Mytilus edulis: one gene and its partner. The protein of the gene in region 2 purifies or fractionates together with the protein of the main gene of each other region. This does not show direct contact. Links are inferred from orthologs where the notes say so. Each region holds a gene or a part of one and is shown on either strand. Other genes may lie near its edges.

Region 1 (7,405 bases), on a different chromosome or scaffold from region 2:
TAGCTACCTACCCTATTTTTTTCAAGATATCATAGATAGGAAGCACACATATTATTTTATTTGGCCTAAGTATAACAGTTACATGTATATATGTATGCAAGAACGAGCGCTCAGATTCATCTACAATGACTACAATAAATCATATGAACAACTACTTGAACAATCTAAATTACCAATTCTTAAAATCAGTCGCATGAGAAGCATGGCATTAGAAACTTACAAAATTTTAACAAAATCCAGTCCTGAGTTTTTACACAATATATTAAATTTTAAAGATAACTCATATAATTTTAGATATAAACTCACAGTTGATTTACCACAACCAAGAACTACAAGGTATGGCAAAAGGAGTTTTAGCTTTGTCGGCAGCAAAGTTGTGGAACTCCCTGCCTAACCATGCATGGAGCCCCTCAACTTTGGTAAAGTTCAAACATTTTATTTCTTCATGGTGCTCTTCAGAAAACTGCTTCTGTAGCTCATGTAGATATTAACTTTGCTGTTCTCAGAGCTGGATCTTCTGGCCCTGTGTTCTGTTTATTGTTTGCTTTTATTTTATTTATTTGCTTAGCTTACAATGTATGTCATTGTGCCAGTTAAAGCAAAATTTGCTTTTCCTTTCTTTTAGCTTGCTTGCTTTGATTTATGCATGTTTGCTTTGCTATTATATTATGCATGTGTTTTATTTGTATGTGTAGTCTGTGCTGATAATTTGTTATTTGTTTTAAGTATCAAGTCGGTTAAGAGCTCTACAGAGCTCATGTTTACCTTGTTAAATTGTACATATCATGCCGGACTATAAATAAAATTTACTTACTTACTTACTTTTCTATATATAATTCTCACCCATTTGAATATCATTCTATTCTAATAGAATCCATGACAAATCGCCCCACTGGCAAATCGCCCCACTCTTTCACAAACTCGCCCCACTTTCTAAAAAAAACGCCCCACTCTTGTTTACCAACTCGCCCCATTATGAAAAGGGTAAACTCCCATTGCAAATAGGTATGATAACATGCCCCCCTTATGAAAAGGGTTAAAATCCCGCTGAAATACGGTCAGCTGTCAACTGGCCCCACTCATGACAAATAGATAAACCACTTATAAAAAAGATGCAATCCCGTTGTATATCTTTGTCCCTGCCCACGTCAATACCTTTGAAAACCTAAGTGAAGTGCTATAACATCAAATTGCTGTTAAAAACTCTGTTTTTGCAATAAAGTTATATATAAATGTTAATCACGCATCAATTAATTGTGTGATTATGATACAATTAACAGGTTTCTTTTCAATTGTTATACAAATAACTAAGCTTACAAGTATAAAGTTATTCTCCAATAATGATACAAAAATGTCTTTGCAATTATATTTTAAGAATGTTAAAAAAGTTTAATAAACTGATTTCAATTTTTTTTTTTTTGTATTCTGTGTAGATCACAAAAATCAAAATAAGTTTTCATTTAAGTGCGGCTAGTTGGTAGACCTGAAAATTACATATAATAGAAGTAGATTTTTCCTTTTTTCAATAAGTGGGGCGAGTTGACAGGGGAAAAATTAACTGGATTTAACCCTTTTCAAAAGTGAGGCGATTAATCATTTTTTTAAAAAGTGGGGCGAGTTGGTTAACCAGGTTGGGGCGATTTTTTTATTTTTTTTAATAGTGGGGCAGGTTGGTGAAAAAGTGGGGCGATTTGGTGTGGGGCGGTTTTGCCAGTGGGGCGATTTGTCCTGCTTCCTTCTAATATATTAATAATAGTGCAGTGCAAGTGCATGACAGACGCTCTTCTGTGAAAAATGGATTTTATTAATAGATTGGATTTGAGTAGGCATTCAATTTTCCTGCTAAACCAATCTCCCATGCAGAGTTATCGCTCCTTGCTCTGAGAGAGTGAGTAAGGACCGATAAATCTGCATGGGAGATTGCCGCAAAACATTCATGAGATCTTCTTTCGCATGTGTTAACACAGTTATAAGCAAAAAGGTATGTTAATTTGCACTCGATAATGTCCACATATTTATCTGTTTATAGATCGCTTATCAGTCAAACGCAAAAGTTACATATTAAAGTGAAAATCTCGTCAGCAACAAATATACCTTATCGCTAATCCCGGCTGACCATGCCGCTTGAACTTTTGACGCATACAACAATCACTTTTCCATTGTGGCGTCAGATATTTTGTTTTATGACGTCAAAATTTTACGTGAACCTGTGTGATATCCAGTAGTGGTGCCGATTTAACCAAGTGTCGATTTGACTACTGGGTGCCGATTTAAGGATGTTCGCTACTCTGTTGAAAAATAACAAGCTTTTTAAAAAACTGTTATACATTGAAAGTATATATATAAAGAAACTAAAAAAGCAGAAAAAAATGGAGGGTCCGTGTGTTTGTTTTCGAGATATAAGCCATTGAAAATTTGGCGGGAAATAATTCTCTCTAGATTTTTCTTTCACTTAACATTGTCACCTTTTTTGTTTTAAAAACTATGGAAAAATAACAAGGATTTCATAAGATTTTGAAATATGGCTTTTTAAATAATATGTAATAAAAATATGAAAAGAAAAGTAGGGGTTATTGGGCAATTTTTTTTAATGTTGATACATGGATAAAACCAGAGGATTTCGAAAATCTAGCAAAAATTCAAAATGTAGAGGAGCGAACATCCTTAACCAGGTGCCGATTTGACTACTGCCGTGAGAACTGGGTGCCTAAAATTGCCCATGCCATTGATTTATGGACCACACTTTATTACCTTTTTTGATTTTCCAGGGTTTCCAGAGGTATAATCTTTGATAAGTTCGTAATCCGTAAGTTCTTCTATTGAAATTAAAGAATCGAAATCATTTTGAGATAAAAGATTATAGTCAATTTTCACTGGTTTCCACTTTCCTTTGGTTTTCACGTGCATGGAAGTCGCCATTTTTTACTCTCTAAATGTAAACAAATCTCATAAAGTCATCAAGACAAATAAAATATGAAAACTATCTGTTTTAAAATAGAATTATTTTTATCATCTTTTTTTATTTATCTATCTATTCCATACAGCTTATTCATTCCTATTTTGTATTGTTTTGAGATTAAAAGTATAGTCTGGGTTCCCATTATTCAAGGTCTGGACGTATAGTAGAGATTGAATTTAAACAGGAACCCAGGTTAAAAATATTACAACTGGTTACAATAACACAAACATTCTTATAAAGCTTTAGTTGACAGTTGTAGGTTCCAGATTATTTATTGTTGACGTTTTTTGTCTTCTTTCGTTTTACACCATAGGAAACAAAATCAGTGACATTCCAATAAAATGTAACACTGGTGTAGGAAAAAGAAGATATTTTACACCTAAGCATCCCAATACACATAGAAAATAGCAGAGAAGGTGATGACAATTTGACAATGAAACTTCCCAAAGTTGTCTTTGACTTTATCCAGTCCAAATATTAAATTATTTTGAGGTCTTGAAATAGATATAGGGAGATGTGGTATGAGTGCCAATGAGACAACTCTCCATCCAAATGACAATTATAAAAGTAAACCATTATAGGTCAAGATACGGCCTTCAACATGGAGCCTTAGCTCACACCAAACAGCAAGCTATAAGACTGATAAAGGGCCCAAAAAATTACCAGTGTAAAACCTTTCGACAAAAAAAACCAATGGTCTAATGTATATAAAATTGAAAAACGAGAAACACGTATGAACTATACATTAACATACGACAACTACTGTACATCAGATTCCTGACTTAAACAGGTGCAAACATTTTAATGGTACCAAACCTCCTCCCTTTTCTAAAACAATAGTATAACATCACAACATAAAAAAACACTATAAAATATCAATTGGAAGGCTTAACTCAATAAAGAAAACACAAATTAAGGCGACTATGCTTTTTTGCTTTGACGCCTTACAATATGTCATAATTATTTTGATTAACTCAGGCCTAGCTTCACAGGCACTTGTTTCTATCCATGGGAAGACCCACTATCAACGTAAATATATAGAAACAAGTGCCTGTGCCAAGCTTCATTAATTGAATTAAGTTTAAATGTTTAAATAGTTCTTCAAATGAGAAACTTAATTTTGTTGAATGTAACAGTTATAGACGACTCTCACATTTCAACCTTTTCCTGTCATATTGCTTTTATCAATTCGTCAAAGTGAGAGTCTATACACAACCTTTTAATTAAATTAGTGGACTTTTCACAAAAAACATGCATTGATGTTACAAAAAAAAAATCTTTTAGTTGTGATGTCCGACGACTAAGTTTTTCCCCAAATGAACCAGAACCCAAATCAACAGGAACAGCCTTGTTCATCCTTAAAACTGAAATTGGAAAGTTATCAATTGCTAAACGACATCATCTATGCTGGCTGACCCTGAGTCAACCAGTGTTACTCATTCATGAAAAGAAAACAAGGATTTGGTCAATACCCAAATCAAAGTTTCAAGTTACCTGAAATTATTGACCACAGGAGTTGTTGATTTTATCAATGTTCATAAAATATAGAAAAATATTTGCTTATTAATTGTGCCATGACCCTTTTTGAACAGTCAGTCATCATAAAATTGGAGTACTTTTCAACCAGAACGACTTACTTTTTCAATAGTTTCTTCTCTTCATTAGTTTCAGCAAGGAATTGTATATTTAAAAGGAATGGAAACGCGGCTCGAGATCAATCGGGATACCAACAGCGCACCCGCAGAGTTATAAACCATGTCTGGCTCAGGCGGAAGTATGATGAATAATATAAAAAATCATGACGGAGTTCCATTTCCTGTCATATAAATCGGTCTTTTAATTCACGGGGTCATCTTGCTTGAGACGATATAAATGAGAGAGAAACCCGAAATCAAGAATAAACTTTTATTCCTAGCAAAAAGTAAGGCCTTGGGTATCATTTTAATGCCTCATCAAACATACGTTTGTAATATTGTATTGAGTAAATTCTCATTAGAATAGACCTCGGTCTTGAAAATTGAGGGAGTTTCATCCGGATTACTAAACAAAAAATACTGTGTTTTGATTTTTTTCTAAAAACTTGAAAACTGCGAAGTGCAAAACAAAACAGTTGATATCATTATGAAGCTGAAACCTTATTCTATCGCTTAGGCTCTTTTTGAAGTTTCTTGTAACTTTTAAGAATTTTCTACGATTTTTCGAAATTTCAGTTTTGAGTTTCAATATTCTGTCAAAATATGTCTATCAATCTGGGAGTGCACTACGATTTCTTTATTATATTGGAAAGTAGAAAGAAAAAAGTGAGAAAATGAGATATCATTTTAAAGAAGGAATATTTTTCTACAGTTTGATCTAAATTACGAATGCTAAATGTAATTGGTACAATATATATGATTTTATTTCGAAACATGTTGAAAATTTGAAGTTGTGCGTCAACAAATACATCGACACTTTGTATTTTGGTATAAGTTAAATAACTACTTGAAATAGATGTGACATTGACATATAATTTAAAAGCTTAGTCTTTTTTCTATCGCATAGTGTTCATTTTATGAAAATGGTGATAAAAACGAATTAGCTATGATTTTTCAAAATCCCATGTTTATATTTCACATTGACGCCATTTTGTTTGAAATAACAGACAAGATATATATAAAAGACACACGATTGGGATTTATTGTGCCTTAATATACCATGTACGATGTTATGCATTTCAAGTTTTTTTGTCAAATGCTGCTTTAGATACTAAATCGTTGTTTAGAATGCAGTTTGCCATTATAAAGCGTTGCCGCAAATTACCATACGAAACAGCAAAACTGTTCCTTCCTTTTTCTCCCAGAGCAGTAGTCTATAGGCCGCAAAAGTATTCCTTTGGTGTTAAAATAAATAAAATGCGAATGTGGGAAAGTTTGAACTGTTTCTAATTAGAAAATTTATTGCATCTCTGCATAATTTAGCATTAATTAACAGGTGAGCTCGACATTATTAATTTTTAACATCTTAAAAGTATGTAAGACCAGAGACAAATTAGCTTATCATTGATACATGATATATTATACCTGCAAATTGGAACATCCTGCATGCCGTTGTTTATTATAACACCTGTAATCTAAGTTCTTTTATCTAGATAATATACTGCAGTTGTTAAAATTTTCCTTCCTTCATAATAATTTATTAACTTCTTTCTTTAACAGTCATTTAGTTACATTTTTAAAATGTTCTTTATTTTGCATGAAAACTTTTTAACACTCGTAAAATGTCCGATATCATCTGATTATGACATACCTTCATGAAATAATACAATAAAAAAAAATTGAATAATAATTTTGTTAGTTCATCACATTTCATTCTGGTGTTATCTTTCTTGGTATAGTTAACACTAATTAATGAGAATCAGCATAAAAGTAGTGTCAAAATGATATAAAGAAAGATACTTTCAAGGATAACACTAAATTTTCAACAAGCAAGATTCAGAATTCTTTATGATAATGGGGCATGGAAAGTGAACTCTGTATTAAGTTGTTAGACTTTTTGTTCCAAATTAGTACTGAGTCCTAGTCAATTTTTCAAATAGCAAAAAGTTAAGATAAAAAGGAAGGAATTGGAATTAAAACTCTATATCAATCATGAATGCGACTGTAGTTATATTTTTTATCTTCAGATAGAAGAGATGCAGTCAAGTGACACTGATTATCATTTTGATAATAACAACACAATTGACATGGATTTTTGTGCTAATATGGAAATACAAACAAAGAAGAGAAAATTTGAAATGACAACAGAAAATGTGACATCAGCTATCATGTCAGGTTTGTAAAATCATCAATTTGAACACACTTATAAAGAAAGATCTCAGTAAGAGTCGACAAAAGATGAAAAGTTAGTTTTACATGCTTACTTCAAATCAATTAATCTACAACTGAAGACAAAATAGAATACAAATCATAAAATTGAGAATGGAAATGGGGAATGTGTCCATGAGAAAACAACCTGACCAAAAATGGGGAATGTGTCAAAGAGAAAACAACCTGACCAAAGAGTTATCAGCAGCCTAAGACCACCAATAGGTACAATAGTCTCGGATGTGGAGAAAAAGTTGAGAATTTGATAACTTTATAATACAAAAAATCATTATATTCAACATGTTCCCTGAGTCTTGCATTGCTATTTAGTGAAATAGATGAAATTGTTAATTTTTCTTCTTATTTCACTATAAGTTAGTATAGATTATAGTTTATAATTGTTTTTGCAATAAATGATATGAAAGGAAAATGCCTATAATTTTCAGGAAGACAGTTTGTTTTACTTCCAAGGAACAGCAGTACCTATGTCACAACAGATTGGAAACTCACTGGAACCTCATTATTCCTTCCATTGAAAGGGGACACATTTGTCAATCTACAAAAATATGAACAGATAACAGTTGCTGACGGAAGCTACTTCATT
Region 2 (7,877 bases):
AGTAGAAAAAAAAATGCAACAAACTTTATAAATAATAAATAAATAATTGTCTAAGGTGGTACCCAACACCTTCACTAAAATTAATTTGGCTCTTTTAATTTTCACATAAAATTTTAACAAAATTTTTTACTTTGACCTTTTGACAAAAATATAAAAATTTTAAATTTGAACCAACCATTTTATCAAAATTTACACTGGTTACATAGCAGTTTGACAAACACTAGTTTTGATCGTTGAGAAGCTTAAAATCCCTATAACAATACAGTGTGATTAAAATGTTAAGCTGATCAGTGCTCTCCCCAGAAATTTTGAATAGTATCACATTTGGCGTAAAAAAATTTTAACATTACGGTAATTTGTCTATTTGTCACATCATGGTGATGCTCTATTTCCTTTATGTTATATATGTTTATATTGTTCAATTCATTACTGAGAATACAATTAAACTATAACCAGGAAAACAGTTGTTTCAGTTAATGTTTTCTTTATTCATTTATAGTTACAGAATTATTTTTTTCCTCTTGTGCCAAATAAAAAAATATGCGGTTTCAGTTACCCTACCTATACCCAACTATAATTATAAAATGAATGAATGGTTTATTATAGTGTAACCTGTATATATACAATACTATATATCTAGTACAAAAAAGAACTGTTTTTTTTATATTAAAAGTGAAGACAAAATCGAAGGGAAAGTATCATAAAAATAAAAATAAAATTTCAATTTAAAAACTTTTTTCTTTATCAAGTCTATGAAATTCATTGTTATATATATTTTTAACAAAGTTATCTAACAAATAGTCTGTTTGCGTAGTTTTCTCTATTGGTATATTTTTTCTGTCTACTGTACCATTTGTGCATCTGTAGATGCTATCGTGAAAATGCGTAATTTTATCATATCCTGTCCGGTTCAGACCCGTAGTTTACACAAAAATGTGCAATGGCGGCCAAAGAAAAAGTTTACAAAAATGAGTCTGGTAATAAACAATGATTGGCAATAGATTGGGAATGAATATGACGCTATTAATGCATTAAATGGATTAAACATAAACTAAAGCCAATTATGATCATTTTCTAAAGAAGTTTAAAACTTATTTAGCTCAAAATCTAAATTTTCGCTCTCAATAGTACTAGAACCGGTGGAAGAGACAGAAAGTTTTTTTTCAAAGTTGCAAAAACTTAATGACCAAACCTTTTTTATGAAAGAAAAGTTGTTTCAATTTTTGAAATTCAGTATTAAAAAAAAATAGATTTCAAATTGTTTAATGATTTTATGATGCATTCTTTTCATGTCAAAATTGACGATTGCAAACCCATGGTATAAGTCATTTCACAAGTGTCAGCTTGGGGTATTCACATCCAAATCACCCAAAGGGCAATTAAAACCTATTTAATTACTCTTATTGCCTCTATTGTCCGACTTGAAGGGATTACAATTAAAGGTAATATAACTTTTATGATCATAAGCGTTATTTGTTGAAAGTTCAAAATTTAGGACATGGATTTGTGATATATTGAAACAAAAATATAGCACCTTCAAATAAATTATAATAGCATCACAGGGAAATAATATAGTGTAGCGTATGCTTAAAAGGCCTGGGGAGAACACTGCTGATACTACAGAGTTCAGTGTTAGGACCAACCTTAAATGAAAGGAAAATAAAATAAAATATATTATATTCTAATAAAACAAGAATGTGTCCCCAGTACACGAATGCCCCACTCGCACTATCATTTTCTATGTTCAGTGGACCGTGAAATTGGGGTAAACCCTCTAATTTGGCATTAAAATTAAAAAGATCATATCATAGGGAACATGTATACTTAGTTTGAAGTCAATTGGACTTCAACTTCATCAAAAACTACCTTGACCAAAAACTTTAACCTGAAGCGGGACAGACGGACGGACGAACTGACGGACGAACGGACGGACAAACGGACGAACAGAGGCACAGACCAGAAAACATAATGCCCCTCTACTATCGTAGGTGGGGCATAAAAAGAAAATGTTCCACATTATTAATATTTGTGCATTAAAAGATGTAAACTGAGAAATTTTCATTTCTATTGATCACTCTATACAGACTTACCAATGTTTATGTGTCACCAAAACAGCATCTGGTATTATGTTATTCTTCTCAAGGTATTCCTAAATGAAAAATAACATTAATATTAAGTTTAGAAAAGCTTCATTATGTTATTTATTTTCAAAATGAAGATAGTTTTTACTTTTTCCTTGAATTTTTTTTCACACATTTCAAAAGAAGTTTATATTTTACAAATAAAATAGACGAATATCATCATATATATATATATATATATACAACTCGTCTAAACATCAACCCAACAATGTTAGATCTGTAAATTTGCTTTCGCAAATTTTTGGTTCTTCCCTCGCCGGGATTCGAACCCATGCTACTGTGATATCGTGACACCAAATCGCCTGCACTGCAGCCGTCCCGCTAGACCACACGACCACCTGGGCTCTCAAAATAAGAGCTTTCGCTGGCTGCGTATTACCTTTCCACGTCAGTTTTAATCTAGCGGCGTACTGCAGAACATGATATATAAGGCATGAAGATGTTATTGTTACAGATCAGCTAAATTATCTATAGTAAAGGATCCTAATATATATATTTTTTTTCTTCAACTGTTAACTCTTGTTGAAAAGTAAATCCTATTATGAGGTAGAAAAATAGAAACAAGAGAAAATGGTAGGTTAAACCTGGTTTTATAGCTAGCTAAACCTCTCGCTTGTAATTTTGACAGTTGTTCATAGTTTCAACATATTGGTAAAGTGCATCCTCCAGCCCTTAATACCACAAGGATAACTTATTGTGACAAGATGTTTGGCAACTGATGACATCCCCTCTTAAGGTGCATGTGGTACCTAACACCTTGACTAAATTTTTTTTGGCGCGCTTAATTTTCCTAAAATTTTGACAAAATATTTACTTTGACCATTTTACAAAAATATAAAGAAAAATTTCATTGGATATATATATATCAATTTGGAAAGCACTAAATTTGATCATGGAGAAGCTTAATATTTCCTTAACAATACAATGTGATTAAAAAGTTAAGCTGATTTTACAGAGTTATCTCCCTGTAGTGTTAGGTACCACGGTACTACCACTTTAAACAGTACTAGTTCAAACAGAGAGAGTGAAATAATCTAATGAACAGCTCCACCTGGTGGTTACTTACAATAACAGGTTCTGGATCTCCAGGGTCTATAACTACTGTTGTTTTGCCATCTGTTATTACATATGCCAGGTTGTCTAAAGACATAGGGACAGGTGTTATCTTCAAATCTGCAAAACAAAGTGAATAATTAGGAAAGAACTCTTACAGTATACATGTATATCAGTATAAATGTACCACTATCACAACTGAAGTTTACAAGTCAAATGGCAAAATGGCATAACCATAAAGTTTATATATATATTAGGCAAAAAAAAGTATGTGTGTTTACTGTACCCCTACTCTAAAGTTATTTTGGCCATTTTTGATTAAGCACTGTTAAAGTCACAATGTTTCTCACATACTAAGACTTAATTTAAAATATAAATAAAATTCCCTACCTATCTTAGTACCTACCCTTTTTTTCAGCATGTGACAGTAAACACACATACTTTTTTTTTTGGCCTTACATGTACAAAAAATGTAGTCATAAAATCTTTACCTTTATGGCATAATCATTGTCTCACAATCAGAAAAAGAAGACAACAAAATATCTGCACAATTAATTATTTACTAGTCGTCTCCCTTGTTAATGTCTGTGTCATTTTGGTCTCTTGTGAAGAGTTGTCTCATTGGCAATCATAAAAATGTACCATATCTTCTTTTTATACATGTATTTACATACCATTATATGTTTTTGTTTGTATGACAGAATGACTTTCTCCTTCTCCATATTTTTCCCTAGCTTTGTTAACATCTCTCCTGTGATAAATATAACCAAGACAAGTCCTAGTGTAGAACCAATACCTGTCAATCAAATATTAAAAATGTAAGTAGGAAATATGAATAACAATAAACTTAAATCAAATGACTGAAAACACAAGTTACAAATGTATATGTGTTTGTCTATAAATACATGCATCTTAATATTTTTGGAAAGCAGTTATCAACAGATAACCTACATGTATGTTACATGTATTTCAAACTCTTAGAAAGTTACTCATTCTAAAAGACGATAAAAAAAATGACTGATTCTTTCCCAAAAACATCAATCATTGACAGTGTCAGTATACACCTTATTGCTGTAACAGGCTGACCCAGCCTCTTGAACTTTTGACGTGATACAATGTATAACATTCACTTTTCCATAGTGGCGTCAGATATTTTGTTTTATGATGTCATAATTTTACAAGAACCTGTGTGATATCCTGTAATGCCGGACAGATAGCGATAAGGTGTATTGAGTAATGGTTATTATTTGGAAAATGACGGTAAAAATTTTACCAAATTGATGCTGAAAATGACGGTAAAGGGCATCTGTTAATACCCTCATTATTTATCAAGGATTTGTATATTATGCAATCATGAAATAAACAGATAAATAGACTGCAGGAAATTATCATTATCAACTCAATGTTGTCTCTTTGACACACTCCTCAATTCTCAATTTTATCTGACAGAAACAAGACACTGAGATTACAGTTTCTTTTCAGATTTGAAATGACAATACGTATCTAAGGTATATATATTCCGTTTACCCTATTTGAAATAAACAACCGCCTTCTTGTGTTGTCATTTTTGTGAGAATTTTGTCTTGAAAATGTAACATTCGAAACTGAGACGGTATGTCATGAAAATTCCGCTTTTTATTTCTAGAATTATTTCCCTTGTATTGATCTAGGAGTGGTGCGCTGCAAACCACGTGTTTTTCTCTTACTCGCCATTTATATCAGGGTACGGACGTTAGAAATTACAGCTCTGATTAAATAATTATTTATCAAATACAACTTATGTCAAAAAGTTGTTAAGAAGTTCCCATTTGCTATTGACTAACAGTCTATCTTCTTCACTATGTTAACGAGTACAAAATTTCATTGAAAATTGGGGTATTTTATTTAGACTTAGAAACCACGTGTTAGTAACACTTAAAAAAAAAGGGGGGACGTGAGGCGTAATAGTCATATTTATAAATGGTATTACGCTTAAGGTTCATCATAAGGAATTGAAAAATATGGCCGTGTTTACACCTCCAAAATTACTATGAGTACAGACAAACTGGTACATCCAGCAAAGTTTTAAGGCATGGCAGGAACTAGATATATAAAAGTTATATGAAGTCTACGTTTCAGAAAATTAAAAACTAACCTGAATTTTGATGTTCATTTTTTTCCAGTCTGCAGAAGATAGCAAAATAAACAAACACCCGAGTTTCATTTGATACGGTCCACTCAGTTACACAGTTTAAACCTGTTAAATCACCTATTGTTTACAGGTGTCTATTGTCCATCTATTGTCCATTTAAATCAATACTACTCACAACATTGATTATATGAGGGGAGCTTCTCAATCGTTTTCACTACTTAGTTAATTTTTGCACCTTCTGCAGGAACGAAAAAAAATGGATAGCAAAATCTAGAAAAGTTTATAACTTTCTGAAACATAAAATGCATTTAAAATTTATATATCTAGTTCCTGCCATCCCTTAAAACTGATGCAGGTGTATAGATTAGTCTGTACTCAGAGTAAAATTTGGGGTGTAAATACGGCCATTTTAGCCAAAAGGTTATGATGAACCTTAAAGAAACCACTTAAAACTCAAAATTAGCAGTTCATCCTATTTAAAGAGACTGCCATTCTAATACAACAATCAGTGATAGTGTTTGCCTTAAATAAATGGAGAATAAACAGATAAAGGGCTTTTTCTCCAACTGGTGGAGAAAAATCCCAATTTGAAAAAAAATGGCTTAAAATTATTCCCAAAAAAGACAACTTCTTCCTGAAACGGTGCAGTTTCAGTAGTAACTGCATGAATTCAAACTTAAAAACACTCATTTATATTTTTTTCATGCCTAAAATTACTAAGTGCAGAATTGAGGGTCTATTTATGTATCATCACTGACAAAAGGGGGTCTTATTTCAAAGCAAGATTTGACTCTTGAAATGAGGTCTAAATTTAAGTTTCAGTCAAATTCATGGTTTATTCTATGAAAATTACGCATATTTTCCCAATAAAAAGGGTACAGGTAGTTTTGAAAAAAACCAACAATATCGCTGATCGGAGAGATGAAAATTTTGCCTTGAATCTCTTTTGTTGTAATTGTAATTGTATCATGCATTTTTATATTTTCCACTCTTTTTAGGTCCTTATCACAGGCACTCGTCTCAGAATTTTCCCCCTATTTACCTTTATATAACACAAGGTACTTAACTCACGATTTTGAAAAATGTCATACAGTGACAAAATTCCATTAAAAATTCTGCGTCTCAGTTGTCAATCCGACTAAAACTTGTTATGCCGTAAATCAAAATTGATTCATATCTTCACAATGCCAATGGTGTATAACACGCCTACTGTTGTTTTCGGAATCATCCGTAGCAATCCTACCAAAGTACGGATGATTCCGACAACAAATGTAGGCATGTTATACACCATTGTAAAGATAAATCAATTTAGATTTACGATATAACAAGTTTTAGTGGGGTCATCCCGACTTTTTTTGCAGCTTCTCATTCTGATTTTTTTTTTAATTTCTTCCTATCCTCCAACCCCTCAAAATCAAAAAGTAGCTCCCATTGCAGTGGGGGATCCTAAATTTTCAAAAGTGGGGACCGATTGACTGCCAAAGAGGGGGCCCACTCCCGTCATGCTTAAGTGATTCCCCATATAATAATATAATAGGCTTCATGGTTAGTGCGGCCATATTGGATAGGGGGCAGATTTCTTAAAAAGAGGTGGAAATAGTATGAAAGTATGGGAAATCCTATGTTTCCATGCAACTGCTCTGTTTTAATAATGTTTTCCTATATTTTTCACAACATTTTTACCTCAATGTTGAAAATCTGCCCCCTATCCAATATGGCCGAACTAATGTGAAGAGCCCTATTAAACAATTTTTTCCCAGAAAATGGGGGGGCCAGGGCTCCTTGAAAAACCCTCTGAATCCACCTTTGCATTGTAGTATTGGTCTTCAAGAATTATTGTGGTGTCAATGCGAAAGTTGTGACGGATATATTGCATACATGTATATGCCAGAACAGTTGCCAGACAGACCCGAATATTCAATTTTTTTTTTTTCAATTTCTGAAATATAAATAAAAATTAACCCTTTCGCCGATGAGTCCCGGTTTACCGGGATTCACGCTTCAGACAACTGACGATGAGTCCCGTTTTACCGGGATCGGAATACATCTTTTATGTTTCCCGCTCAAAACAGTGCAAACATGAGTTATCTTTCTTTGATGAATACCCATATGAAAGTATAAACATGGCGCTTCCGTTTGTTGAAAACCGTGTCAAAATCAGACGAAATTTACGGAATTTACGAGAATTTGAAATGAGGGAACATTTTTTTGAAAGAATATGGAAGAATTGATGCCAAGCTAGTATACTTTTTTGACATAAAATGTAGTTTTATGTACAAAACACTTGGAATGGACATCGTTCAGTGTGAGGAATTTGTACAGCCTCAGAAAATTTTTCAAAAGTTTGCCGTTTTGGGTTAAAAAATTACGATTTGGGGTCAAAGAGCAGAATTTTGAGAATTTCACCTAGATAATGCCGAAAATTTGAAAATTTGAATATTTTATGAGGAAAAAATTATCAAAACATGAATAAAACTGTGAACATGGTGTTAGTGAATGAAATAAATACACAATTAACTACAAACAAGTTTTTATTGACATTTATTATGAAG

The links. Proteins that work in one complex are often made in the same cells at the same time.
Region 1: the proteins of large ribosomal subunit protein uL10-like (region 2) and ATP-dependent RNA helicase DDX24-like purify together in Homo sapiens (affinity purification with mass spectrometry; 3 studies listed by BioGRID and IntAct, with this or other methods). This does not show direct contact. The link is inferred for Mytilus edulis from reciprocal best matches to the Homo sapiens genes RPLP0 and DDX24.

What each region holds. Positions count from the first base shown.
Region 1 is NC_092344.1:113,043,119-113,050,523, reverse strand, and holds the start of ATP-dependent RNA helicase DDX24-like, read right to left. Parts: upstream 3,115-7,405; 5' UTR 2,920-3,114; coding exon 2,752-2,919; intron 1-2,751. Other genes in the region: uncharacterized protein, read left to right, coding at 6,630-6,768, 7,248-7,405. UniProt on the Homo sapiens protein: ATP-dependent RNA helicase that plays a role in various aspects of RNA metabolism including pre-mRNA splicing and is thereby involved in different biological processes such as cell cycle regulation or innate immunity.
Region 2 is NC_092355.1:20,101,453-20,109,329, forward strand, and holds the start of large ribosomal subunit protein uL10-like, read left to right. Parts: upstream 1-4,866; 5' UTR 4,867-4,917; intron 4,918-7,877. Other genes in the region: probable hydrolase PNKD, read right to left, coding at 2,091-2,149, 3,208-3,314, 3,869-3,990, 4,722-4,792.